3 linked regions of the Struthio camelus genome follow. The protein of the gene in region 3 purifies or fractionates together with the protein of the main gene of each other region. This does not show direct contact. Links are inferred from orthologs where the notes say so. Each region holds a gene or a part of one and is shown on either strand. Other genes may lie near its edges. The genes, in order: FUS, nuclear cap-binding protein subunit 1 and ZC3H18.

Evidence for each region.
Region 1: the proteins of ZC3H18 (region 3) and FUS purify together in Homo sapiens (affinity purification with mass spectrometry; 3 studies listed by BioGRID and IntAct, with this or other methods). This does not show direct contact. The link is inferred for Struthio camelus from reciprocal best matches to the Homo sapiens genes ZC3H18 and FUS.
Region 2: the proteins of ZC3H18 (region 3) and nuclear cap-binding protein subunit 1 purify together in Homo sapiens (co-immunoprecipitation; 3 studies listed by BioGRID and IntAct, with this or other methods). This does not show direct contact. The link is inferred for Struthio camelus from reciprocal best matches to the Homo sapiens genes ZC3H18 and NCBP1.

The regions. Positions count from the first base shown.
Region 1 is NC_090973.1:351,530-355,351, reverse strand, and holds the start of FUS (RNA-binding protein FUS), read left to right. Parts: upstream 1-1,474; 5' UTR 1,475-1,590; coding exon 1,591-1,603; intron 1,604-3,169; coding exon 3,170-3,194; intron 3,195-3,335; coding exon 3,336-3,490; intron 3,491-3,588; coding exon 3,589-3,733; intron 3,734-3,817; coding exon 3,818-3,822. UniProt on the Homo sapiens protein: DNA/RNA-binding protein that plays a role in various cellular processes such as transcription regulation, RNA splicing, RNA transport, DNA repair and damage response. Binds to ssRNA containing the consensus sequence 5'-AGGUAA-3'.
Region 2 is NC_090981.1:12,386,408-12,390,229, reverse strand, and holds the start of nuclear cap-binding protein subunit 1, read right to left. Parts: upstream 2,989-3,822; 5' UTR 2,834-2,988; coding exon 2,800-2,833; intron 1,671-2,799; coding exon 1,585-1,670; intron 785-1,584; coding exon 684-784; intron 1-683. UniProt on the Homo sapiens protein: Component of the cap-binding complex (CBC), which binds cotranscriptionally to the 5'-cap of pre-mRNAs and is involved in various processes such as pre-mRNA splicing, translation regulation, nonsense-mediated mRNA decay, RNA-mediated gene silencing (RNAi) by microRNAs (miRNAs) and mRNA export.
Region 3 is NC_090951.1:2,518,878-2,522,699, forward strand, and holds the start of ZC3H18 (zinc finger CCCH domain-containing protein 18), read right to left. Parts: upstream 2,466-3,822; 5' UTR 2,277-2,465; intron 1,600-2,276; 5' UTR 1,542-1,599; intron 1,489-1,541; exon of another isoform or gene 1-1,488.

The sequences.
Region 1 (3,822 bases), on a different chromosome or scaffold from region 3:
GTCACCATCCTCCTCCTCGGGGTCCTGTCCTTCCTCCCTGGGGGTCACCGTCGTCTTCCTCGGGGTCCCGTCCTTCCTCCTCGGGGTCCCGTCCTTCCTCCTCGGGGTTGGCCCTATAGGAGCCCCTGGAGACCCCCCCACTGGCCCTATACGACCCCCATAGGCCCCTTGCCCAGCGCCAGGCCCTATACAACCCCCCCAGCTCCCCCCACCGCTCCCTAGGTGGGGCCGGCCCCTATAGACCGCCGCGGGCTCCCTACCCCGTGCTGGACCCTATAGAGCTCCGTACGCGGCACCGGACCCTATAGGGGCCCCGTAGGCTCCCGGGGCTGTTTTTAGCCCTGACATTTGGGGGCGGCCAAATCCTGGGAGGGAAGGGGTGGGTGGGGGGTCTATATGGGGCAGATCTATAGGGGGAGTCTATAGGGGGCCCCGCCAACGCCATGGGGGGGCCGTCCCCCGCCCAGGGCGGCGTTTTACGCCCGAGAAAGGCGTTTTTGGGGGCTTTTTGTGCCCTTCCCGACGGCACCTGGCGCCCCTGGAGACCCCCCAGTGGGGGTCAAGCCTATAGGGGCCCGTGGAGAGGGCTGAACCCTATAGGGGCCCGTGGAGACCCCCCGGGGGGAGGCTGCATGTGGAGGCCGCTATAGGGCAGGAGCTCCTTATAGGGCACAGAGTCCCTATAGGGCAGGGGCTCCCTATAGGGCAGGCACCGCTATAGGGCAGGAGCTCCCTATGGGGCACAGACTCCCTATAGGGCAGGGCCCCTATAGGGCAGGGGCTCCCTATAGGGCACAGACTCCCTATAGGGCAGGAGCTCCCTATAGGGCACAGACTCCCTATAGGGCAGGGGTTCCATATAGGGCAGGGCCCCTATGGGGCAGGGGCTCCCTATATGGCACAGAGTCCCTATAGGGCAGGAGGTCCCTATAGGGCAGGGCCCCTATGGGGCAGGCACCGCTATAGGGCACAGGCTCCCTATGGGGCAGGCACTGCTATAGGGCACAGGCTCCCTATGGGGCAGGGGCTCCCTATGGGGCAGGGGTTCCCTATGGGGCAGGGGCTCCCTATAGGGTCTCCATGGGGGGGGCAGGGCTGGCCGTAGGGTCCCCGCGGAGCTGGGGGGCGGTTCCTGGGGACCCCCTATAGGCCCCTTATAGCCCCTCCCCATAGGCTCCCTATAGGGCCCCCTACAGGCCCCCTATAGGCTGCTTGGGAGGGGGCGGGACCAGGCGCCTCCCCCCTCTCTCCCCCCCCCCGCCGCCGCCGCGAATGGTCTCGCCCCGCCTGCCCGGCCCCGCCCCTCCCTTCCCTCGGCGCGTTCCATCCCGCAGGGAGGGAGGGGGGGGGAGGGAGAAGGCGGAGGCGGTGCCGACCGGGGGGGGGGGGGAACCCGCTTGGCTCCCTCCTCCCCCTCCCCCCGAGCCCGCGCGTGGCGGTGGTACGGTCCGGCGGAAGCTATAAAAAGGCGGCGGGCGGCGGGCGGGGGCGCAGTGCGGGGCAGGGCGGGCGCGGGTGCGCCACGTGTGAGGGGAGGGGGGAGGAAAGGGGGGGAGCAAAGAAAGGGCGCCGGAGCAGCGCGACACCGCCATGGCCTCCAACGGTGAGGGGGGCCGCCGGTACCGGGAAGGGGGGGGATGTCCCTAGCTCGGCGCTCGCCGCCCCGTTTCCTCTTAATTTTACCTACGGGAGCGATAAGCGAGATAGAGATTTTTTTTTTTTAATCGTTATGGGGGGGGGGTGTTGCCCCCCCCACACGCTTTGCGAACCGCGCGGCCCCCAGGGTGGGATTGGGTTTTTTTTTAACGTTTAATCTCCTCATGCGTTGGCGGTGCGCGGGTTTTTTTGCAGCTTGTTGTGGGTGTTTTTTTTTTTTGGGGGGGGGTGATATAACGGGTAGTTCCCCCCCCCCCCCACCGCTTACGGAGCGGCACGGTGGTGCCGCCGGGGGTGTTGCTGGCGGCCCGGATGCGGGAAGCGGTGGCGGTGGGGAGGGAAAAATGAGCATAAGTGACTGAAAGAAGAGGGAAAAGGAAGGTTCTGGAAGGGAGGCGAAGCCTTTGAAGGCGGGGATGGGGGGGGAGGGAGGAGGGAGCCCTTTGGTTCCCGCGGCTGCCGGCCGCCATTTTGTGTGGCGCGGGGGCGGGGCGCCGCTTTTCCAACTGCGCCACTCGCGGGCGCCATTTTGTGCGTGGTGGCGGCGGGAGGGTGGGGGCGACGGCGCATGCGCGGCGGCGGCGGGAGAGGGGGGGACGCGCGGCGGAGCGCGCATGCGCGGCGGGAGAGGGGGCGCGACGCGGCGGCGCATGCGCGGCGGCGGGAGAGGGGGACGCGCGGCGGAGCGCGCATGCGCGGCGGCGGCGGGAGAGGGGGGCGCGACGCGGCGGCGCATGCGCGGCGGCGGGAGGGGGAGCGCGCATGCGCGGCGGTGGCTGCCGCAGTCCGACATCCGGGGACTTAAAAGTGTGTGTGTGTGGGGGGGGGGGGATAATATGAAGGTGCCCGAGGCGGGTAAATACCCGCCGCGGCCTGGGTGAATATTGCTGGGCTTATTGATGGGGGGGGGAATCGCTTCCTCTTGCGGTGTGGGGGAGGGGTAACGGTCCGCTCCCGACAAAGCGGAGAGAAATCAGCGCTTGTTGTCTTTGTTGGTGGGGAAACATCGTTTCTGGCGCTTTCGGGGGGGGGAAGACGGTGGTTTGGGGGCGTTGGTGGAGCTGGGCGCGCTTCGTTTGGTGTTTGGCGCCGTAACCGTAGCGCCCGTAACAAGTGAGGGGCTGGGCTGGGGAATAAACGCCACCTTCCAGGTTAGAGCGTGTCGGGGTGGGCAAACGGACCCCCCCCCCACCCCCAGGCTGGGTGCTTGTGCCCCCGGCTGCGCCCTGGGGGAGAGGGGTCGGCCTTCGTCCCCGCCGCTGGGGTTCTTCTCGGGGCTCCCAGCGTGCGGCTGAAGCCCTGGCTCGGGGGGAGGGTGGGAGCCGCCCCCCCCCCCGGCTCTGCTCGCGGCGGGTCCCCTTCCGGCCTTCCCCAGGGCCGGAGAGGCCTCAGACGCTCCCTGCCCGCCTCCCGAAACGCGGCGATCCCGGCGGGCGGGCGGGCGACGCGTCGCGCGAGCCGTGAGGAAACGGCGGCGACGCGATGGCGTGTCCCTTCCTCTTTCCTCTCGCAGATTACAGCCAGACGGCAACCCAGAGGTACGTCGCAGCTCGGGGCGTTGCGCGCGGGGCGGGGGAACGCGGCCGGGCCGCGGCCGGGCCGCGGCTCCTCCGGCGGCGTTTGCCGCCCCCGCGCTGGGCCTGACGGCGCCTTTCTCCCCTCCCTCGCTGGGCCGCCAGCTACGGGGCGTACCCCACCCCGCCGGGGCAGGGCTACTCGCAGCAGAGCAGCCAGCCCTACGGGCAGCAGAGCTACAGCGGTTACAGCCAGTCCACCGACACCTCGGGCTACGGGCAGAACAGCTACAGCTCCTCCTACGGCCAGACCCAAAGCAGTGAGTGTGGCCGGCGCCTGCCGGCCTTGCGGGGACGGGGCCCCTCCGCCGTGCCCGCAGGAGCTTTCCTTCCTCCTCCTCCTCCTCCTCTCTCCCAGCTGGCTACAGCACCCAGTCGACGCCGCAGGCCTACGGCACGAGCAGCGGCTACGGCGGCAGCCAGTCGTCGCAGACCTCCTACGGGCAGCCCTCCTCCTACCCCAGCTACTCGCAGCCGCCGGCGGCCAGCTCCTCCACCGGCAGGTAGCCGCCGGGCCGCGGGGGTTTCGGGGCGGGGGGCGACCCCCCTCCGAGCCCCTCGGTGACGCTTCCCTTCCCGGCCCGCAGCTACG
Region 2 (3,822 bases), on a different chromosome or scaffold from region 3:
TTTGATTTATGTTTATGAACAGTGCTACAAAATGGATTTGAAAGATTCCATGCAGCTATAACACAAGCTGGCACCGCATCCTCCCCCAGCGTGGTATACTATTGTGGACCCCACACAACCCTCTCCTGGGACACGTGACCAGTGACCCAACACACAAAGAAGTTTTGTTTCAGTGCTTTGCTAGGGAGAAGAAGGAGTGCTGCTAGCCAAGGAAGGAGCCTACTTCTGGCTACTTTGTCTCTCCACTACTAGATGGTGGGCTCATGGAGACAGGAGCACCTCAGCCCCAGAAAAGGGGAATAGGCAAAGTAGGAATACAGAGATAAGAACTGGCACTCAATCGATTTGGTATTTTTTTAGTGACTGTTGCATTCAGAAACAAGATACTACCCAGCATATTCCCCATGGCAGTCAGAAAGCAGCTCTGGGGTCTACTCTATCTGCTTATGACCTTGTGCACACATTTCAAGTGAGAGTACTGTACAGAGGCATTTTCCTTGATTTATATCTACTACTGACTAAGCTTCTTCTCAAATTTCTCTTGCCTGGAGTAAGACAAACCCTAAGCTATAACAGTGTTCAAGAACTAACAGCTCTTCACAGCATTTAAAGTACTTAAAATACTTAAACTTATCTATTTAATATAGATAACAGAGCATCTCACAAATCTCCTGCATACGTACACAGTACAAAGAATTCTCAAAATCTTGCTTTTATAGTTTGGTAGATCAGCTTCCAAGACACCAGCTAGGCCCTCCAAGTTGCTCTCCAGAGAGGAAGTACTCTAAGAAAGAAAACAGTGTTTCCGCATCAATCAGGCATATCAACTATCCCCTCAGTAACAACTGGAAGACAAGCAAATCAGATGAAACAAAATATTACTTCACATTTTCTTCTTGTTGGAAGTAATTATTCAAATCCATTAGGAATGCACAATCTCTCTCATTTGCTAGAAATAAGAAGTAGAAATGACTAAGAACAGTCTCAATTGTGAGTTCTCCACAGCAAGGAGCTCTAGTGCTTTCCTGGGAAGCAAGGGTTAACATAGCCTCAGAGATCTCTCAATAACTGAATTAAACATTATATTAATGACATCAGGGGAAGTGAAAGAACTTCACAGCTTGTATGTGGCTAAATTAATGTTAAGACCCATCATTTTTGTCCTCATCCTTTTTTCTCTCCACTTGTTACTAACACCAAACCCAGCCAGGTTCCAAGATCAGTTGTAACACGGCTAGACTTTTTTCTTTTTTTTTTTGTACGCATCTCATTGCTTTCAAATTTTCCAAGGAGTAGGGGGAAATTAATGATAATGTTCACAGATTTTGAATGATACCTCTTTATTAGTTATACTTCACCAATGTATCAAAGGTTTAACATTTAAGAATTTCCTTTTTAAAAATCCAGTTTTGCAAAGGCCAACAATTTTCCAGTTAAAAAGTTTCCAACTGATCTCAGATAAGGATTTTCTCTTTTTGGACCACTAGTGAACTACTAACACATAGCAGCATATAAAACAAAGAAAACAATCTATTATGTTTAAGGACCCTAAGCCACAAAACAACATGGAAATAGTACTGATACCTTTTCTCCCACCCTGCATATTAAAGATTCAAGTCTCTCCTCGATTTCAGATGGCTCAGATGTTCTCCTCCTTTTGTGAGGTTGCCCTGTTTCAATACATTAAATATGTTATTAGCTGCCTGCTTTTTAAAAAAGAAAAAAGTTCTCTATATACTTTTGCCATTCCAGCAACATACTATTAAAAACAAACAAACAAAAAACCCCAAAACTGACAAAGCATTCAAGATTGACCCAATAAACATGAAAAACAGAAGTATACCCATATTACTGATGACCTAGTCCATGAAGCATAAACAGTTAACATTGTAGCTATCTCAAATTTTATTTAGGGTTAATTCTGCATTTCTGCTACAGTGTGAGACAGTATATGTGGGATAAGCTAAACCCACATTAGAGTTACCAGCTATTTCATATTTCCTTAGTGCTTTTTCACATGCTTTCAGCATATGAAAAAATAAAATATTTTAAGAATCCTTGCTTATATTATTAGGGTTTTTTTGAAAGCTTAGAAAAAGACTGCACATCAAAACAATTAAGAAAAAAGAGTGTAGTTAAAAAACACATAGAGTGTTTTTTAGAGTGTTTATCTTTGCAATTAAAAGTTGAAAAAGCTGGTCATGAAACTGTCCCATTCTCCACTAATGCAGAATTACGTTATTAAAAGAAACATCCGTTTCAGTTTCTGAAGCCGTCTCTAGTCCTCCAATATGAATGTTTTCTGAACGTTTTTCATGAAAGCCTTTACAAGATACAAGAACATGTCCTTCTGGCGATCCGTACGCAGCGCAGCGTGCTCCGATCAGTTTGCTACTCCCTATATTTAGGGCGGACCCAAGAGACTGCTTAGGGACAGTCTGTAGCCCTAGTTACACAAGCCAGGTCCTTACACCAGAGCGCCCCACAGTGGCGCCAGGTTGTCCCCAGCCAAACAGCTAGGAAAGGCGGCCCAGGAACGATCCTGCACCCCATGGAGCGCCTCACTACAGCGTCCCGTAGGGCGACGAGCAGGACCAAGTCCTGGCAGAGGGACAGAGTGAATCCCTACCACCCCGAGTCTAAGGCAAGGCAGCGCCGCGGGGGGGGGAAGGAGGAGGAGGAGGAGGGGAAAAGGCACTTCAGCTGAGATCTGTTCCTCCCCCAGCCCCAAGGACGACGCGGCCCCAAGCACAGGGCATGCGGAGTCCAGACCCTGGTACTCCATCCATCCACGCTTACCATCACTCTCGTCACTGTGCCGCCGCCGTGACATATCAGCACTGCCACTGCACAAAATCTGCAGAGAAGCAGGAATACCGTACCCCACAGCAGGAGGCAAGAAGGAAGAGCACTATATAGAGACTATGCAACAAGGATCAGAGTATTTCCCTACTTCCTGTTTGCCTCAGTCTTCTTCCGGGGTAAAAGAGCAGGAGGAAAAGCTACTGTCTTCTCTTCTCCTGACTTCCGCAACTCTATGGGAGTGGGCGCTGCTCTACCTGCTTCTCCATAGTACTAGGAACTCGGATGATTTCTAAAATGGGGAAAAGAATAGACACAAAGTTAGTTAATTATCGATGAAGTGAAATTCACTTATTCCATCTGGCTCGCACCTAGCCTCTCTTGAAGGCTAAGACGGCCCACCATGCGTGTGAATTGCGCACTGTGGGCCCCACTCTTGGGCTGTCTTGCTGACGCCTGGTGGCATGTATATTACCTGAGCCGCTGGATCGAGAATGCTGCTGGGTCCCTCCCACGAAGCGTTTCCAGGGCGATGGAAAAGTGATGGATGCAGGGATTGGGGAGATGTGTGATTCTCCCTGCTGAGTGAGATGAGATCTCAGACGTGGTACTTTGGGGTGCAGTGCTAACACTGCACTAAGCTTAAGCTCCTTCCCCCTCCCCCCCGCTGGAGACTGGCCCCACGCATTGGTGAAAGCAGGCCAACAAGATCCAGGTACAGCCGTATGCATCCCTGCTGTCCCTCTACAATCAAATGGCTGGAGAGACCACGTGCCCCTTTCTTCAGCCCCCATGTCATCCCCCAGGGGCATGGGAGAGCCCTGCAAGTACAGGGAGGGGTACCTCCTTGCTGCCTCCAGGAGGGGGCACCTGAGAGGTGGTGCCACGTCGGGCAGCCGAGGACTGTTGGCCACTGGAGAGGCTGTGTGAGGCCGGAGTTGTGATTCAAATGTAACGCTTAGTTGTCCCGAGGATGGGGAACAGGCACTGCTGACCTGTCATCAACTTGTGTTCCTGCAC
Region 3 (3,822 bases):
CTTTGGGGCAGCAGAAAGTGTTTTTTCCTCATTTCTAGTAGCCAAACATGGTTCAATGCAAGATCAAAACATTTACAGTTAATGAGATGCATAAATGGCAGGGGCTTATGCAGAAGAGAAGGAAGTTCTAGAGCATGGCCTAAGTCAAGCCACAAAGATGGATGAAGAATGATGGGCGGGTTTGAGGGGAAAGAATGAGAAATAGGGCTGACAGGACAAGCTAAAAAAGAAACAGAGCACAAAAACATTTGTGGGACAGAAGTGGAAAACAGAAGCAAACCAGAAATGAATGGAGGGAATCACAATGGGGAAAACGTGGAAGAGCAGCAACAACAGGAAGAGAAGGAAATAAGATGCATCACAATCTAGAAAAGGAACATCATGTAAAGCCGAAAGGATGCGTAGAACAAAAGCAGAGCACCCAGGTCTTTGTTCTGAATGAAACTCTGATTGTTAACAGGATTAATTAAAATAGAATACATACCTATCTGACATCCTTAGAGGAGCACCGACTTTGAAGATGCATAACAAACTTCAATTTTCTAGCAGCTGTCAGAAAACCTTTTAATGCAGAAAACTAAGCTGCCTCTCAGTACTAATTTGAGAGAACTACTTGGTGACAGCCATTTTCAGCTTTTTTTTTTTTTTTTTTTTTTAAGAAGAGCTTACAGAGGTCTGATCCAGAATTTTAACACCAAACACCATACTAGTGCTAGTCAACTGCTTTGTGTCAGGCAGGCTTTAAGACTGATACCTGAACATGAACAAAAATGAAGCTGTAAATAGCTGAAGTTTGTTTTCACAGTGTAATGGATTCTCCTGTTACTAGGACATGCATCACTCTTTCTGCAGCTCCACACTGAACATTAACTTTGAATTACAGGAGCCTCATTCCCATGAGAAAAAATAAGTGCAATTGTTCCTGCATTCTGTAGGATTCATAAATAATCACGCTCTGGAGTCTCATTCCACTCAGAACATTGGATGAGATGGCTTGCAAGGAATTGACTTGATTAGGAAGAGACCTTGACCTTTTTCCTTAACCTAGACAAACCTTAAGAAGATCAGGAGAAAGAATCACACCTTGCAGATGCTGCTCTTGCTACGGCCAAAACAGCGCTGTTAATGGCCGTGTCAGAAAAGCTGAATTACTGATGGCAATAAAATAAAAAATTGTTAGTGCACATCCCAAAAAGAACAGCTCTGAAGAAGAGAGAGCTCTGTTGAAGAAACTCATAGAATTTAAACCACCCGCAGCAGCCACATTTTGGAACACTTACAAAAGTGACCAGAGCTCTGAGCAGAGAGAGCCTTACAGCTGCTGTTTCGCTGCACAGGCGAGACCAACAGGCATTGCACGGGTGCGCAGCACACAGACCACCCTGTCGACCCAGAGGACTGGGCAGCGCGACTTCCCCATCCCGTGGCAGTCAGCGAGGACGCTCCTGACCCATCAGAGAAAGCACCCGAATGCGTGGCCGCTGCAGCGCCCCAGTCCTTCTCCACCCCCTTGCCCCCAGCTCCCCTGGGGCCTCCCTTACCTCACAGGGCCTCCTGCCAGGCTGAGGTCTTTCTGGAGCTCTCCCTGCTCCCACCTGCCTGCGAAGGGAGACAGTCAGCCCTTCCTGTACCTGGTGGCCAGGCTGCACACTCCCCCCCCCGCCAAACTAGGACTCTTCCCCCTCAACACCCCCCCCACCCAAATCCTCCCGCAAACTACAGGCTGTGCCCCCCAGCCTTCCCATCTGGGGGGTGCCCCCCATCCTAGCAGTCCCCCCCCAACTAGGGCTGTCCCCCATCACCCCACCTCCAGCCATTGCTGCCCCTCCCTCTCAGCACCCCCCACCAGGGCTGCCCCCCAACCCTTCCTCACCACCACACAGCTGAGCTGACCCCCCCCCCAACATCACCCCCACTTAGGCTAGATCCTTCCCAGGGCCCCCCACCTGGGCTGCCCCCCCCTTCCCTAAGCTCCCCCCATCCCAGGGCCCCCTCCCACTGGGCTGCCCCCCCCAACACCACCCCCACCTGGGCTGACCCCCCATCCCAGGACCCCCTCCCACTGGGCTGACCCCTCCCCCCAAACACCATCCCCATCGGGGCTGACCCCCCATCCCAGGACCCCCTCCCCAAATACACGGCCCCCCCCCCTTCCCAGCGCCCCCCGCCCGGGGCCGCCCCTCCCCCGCTTCCCCGGCGCCCGGGCCCGCCCCCCCTCGCGGGCGCTAGGCCGCGGCCGGCGCCCGCGGAGCGCGGCCAGGCGGGCAGCGGCTCACCTGGGCGGGCGGAGCGGGGCGGGCCGGAGCCGGAGCCGAGGCCGGAGCCGGGAGCCGGGGCGAGAAGGACGGCGGCGGGCGGCGGCGGGGAAGCGGCTCCGGCGCGGGGCGCGGGACGGGCCGGGGCCTCTACTCGCGGCGGCGCAGGGCGGCCATGGCGTGACGTCATCCGGGCGCGACGGCCTTCGCGCCGGGGAGGGGGGGGGCGGGCGCGCTCGTCCTGCTCGCGCGCACGCGCGCACGCGCACGCGCGCCGCCACCGCCCCGCCCGCGCCTTAAAGGGGACGCGCGCTTCGGCGGCCCCGCGTGGGTGGGGCGCTGGCGGCGGGGTGGTGGTCGGGGGGGGGGGGACACGCGCGTGTGCGGGCAGGTGCACGTGCAGGCGCGCGCGCCCGGGGTAGTGGGGGGCTCGCCTGCACGCACACGCGTGGAGGAGTCCACATGCACGCGTGCGCACGTGGCGGGTGCAGACGGGTGCAGGTGGGGAGGGGGGGGTGCACGAACACCCAGGCGGGGGGGTTCCCGCAGGCAGGCGGGGGGGGTGGGAGGCATGCAAGCGGAGCGAGCACCTGCATGCACACGCCGGGAGGGGCGCACGCGTGCGCGAAGGCGGGGGCTCGACACGCGTGTCCGCGGGCGCGCAGCCGTGCAGGTGCGCTCGCCGAGCTAGGCGCGCCTGTGAACGTGCAGTCAGACCCCTGCGTGCACGCAGACGTGTGCGCGCGCACGCTAAGGCAGACCTAAACGCGTGCACGCCCGGAGCTGGGCGTATAGGTGTTCTTGGGAGCATACATGCAGGTGGTGGTGCGCACCTGGACCTACAGGTGCACACGTGCACGTGGAGGACGTATGGACGTGCACGCAGAAGCATGCCGGCACACGTGCAGGCGACGGCTCCCGGCAGCGGCGCAGCCCGCCTGGCCCTGGGAGCACCTCCCCGTGGCGCTGCGGCCGGGCCCGGCCCCCCGAGGACGGAGCGGGCAGTCCCCCCAGCCGGGCAGCGGCCAGGCCCTCTGCACCGAGCCCTCCGCAGGGGCTGCTGCCCGCGCCGGGGCCGGCAACGCCCCGGAGGGCGGCAGCCCGCAGGGAACCTGCCCAGCGCGCCGGCGGCAGAGCGCCAGGACGCAGCACCGTGCCGGGCTTGCTGGGAGCAGCTCGGCGCCTCGGGGGTGCTCCAGAGCAGCAGGGACGGCGGTTCGGGGCTGGGGGCCGGGCACGCGCTCCTGGGGCCAGCGTCTCCACCGGGCCACGGACTGTGGCCGGGCCGCTCGCCTTCGCCTCCGGCCGCCTCAGGCTCGGGCTGCGCTTTTGCAACCCCGCCGCGCCGAGCCCGTCGGCCCTTCCCAAGGGAGCCAGCTGTCTGCTGCCCGCTCTCCTGGCTCGCAGACCCGGCGTGGCCTCGGACGGCGCAGGGCAGCCGTCCCGGATGCTCTTGCCTCATGCAAGCAGGGGCTGAGCCAGGGCCGTGGGGCCCGCGGCAGCCCAACCGCACTAGCAGCCAGCGGAGAATCCCCTGGGGCGAGCGTGCTGGGAAGCCAGGCTCCGT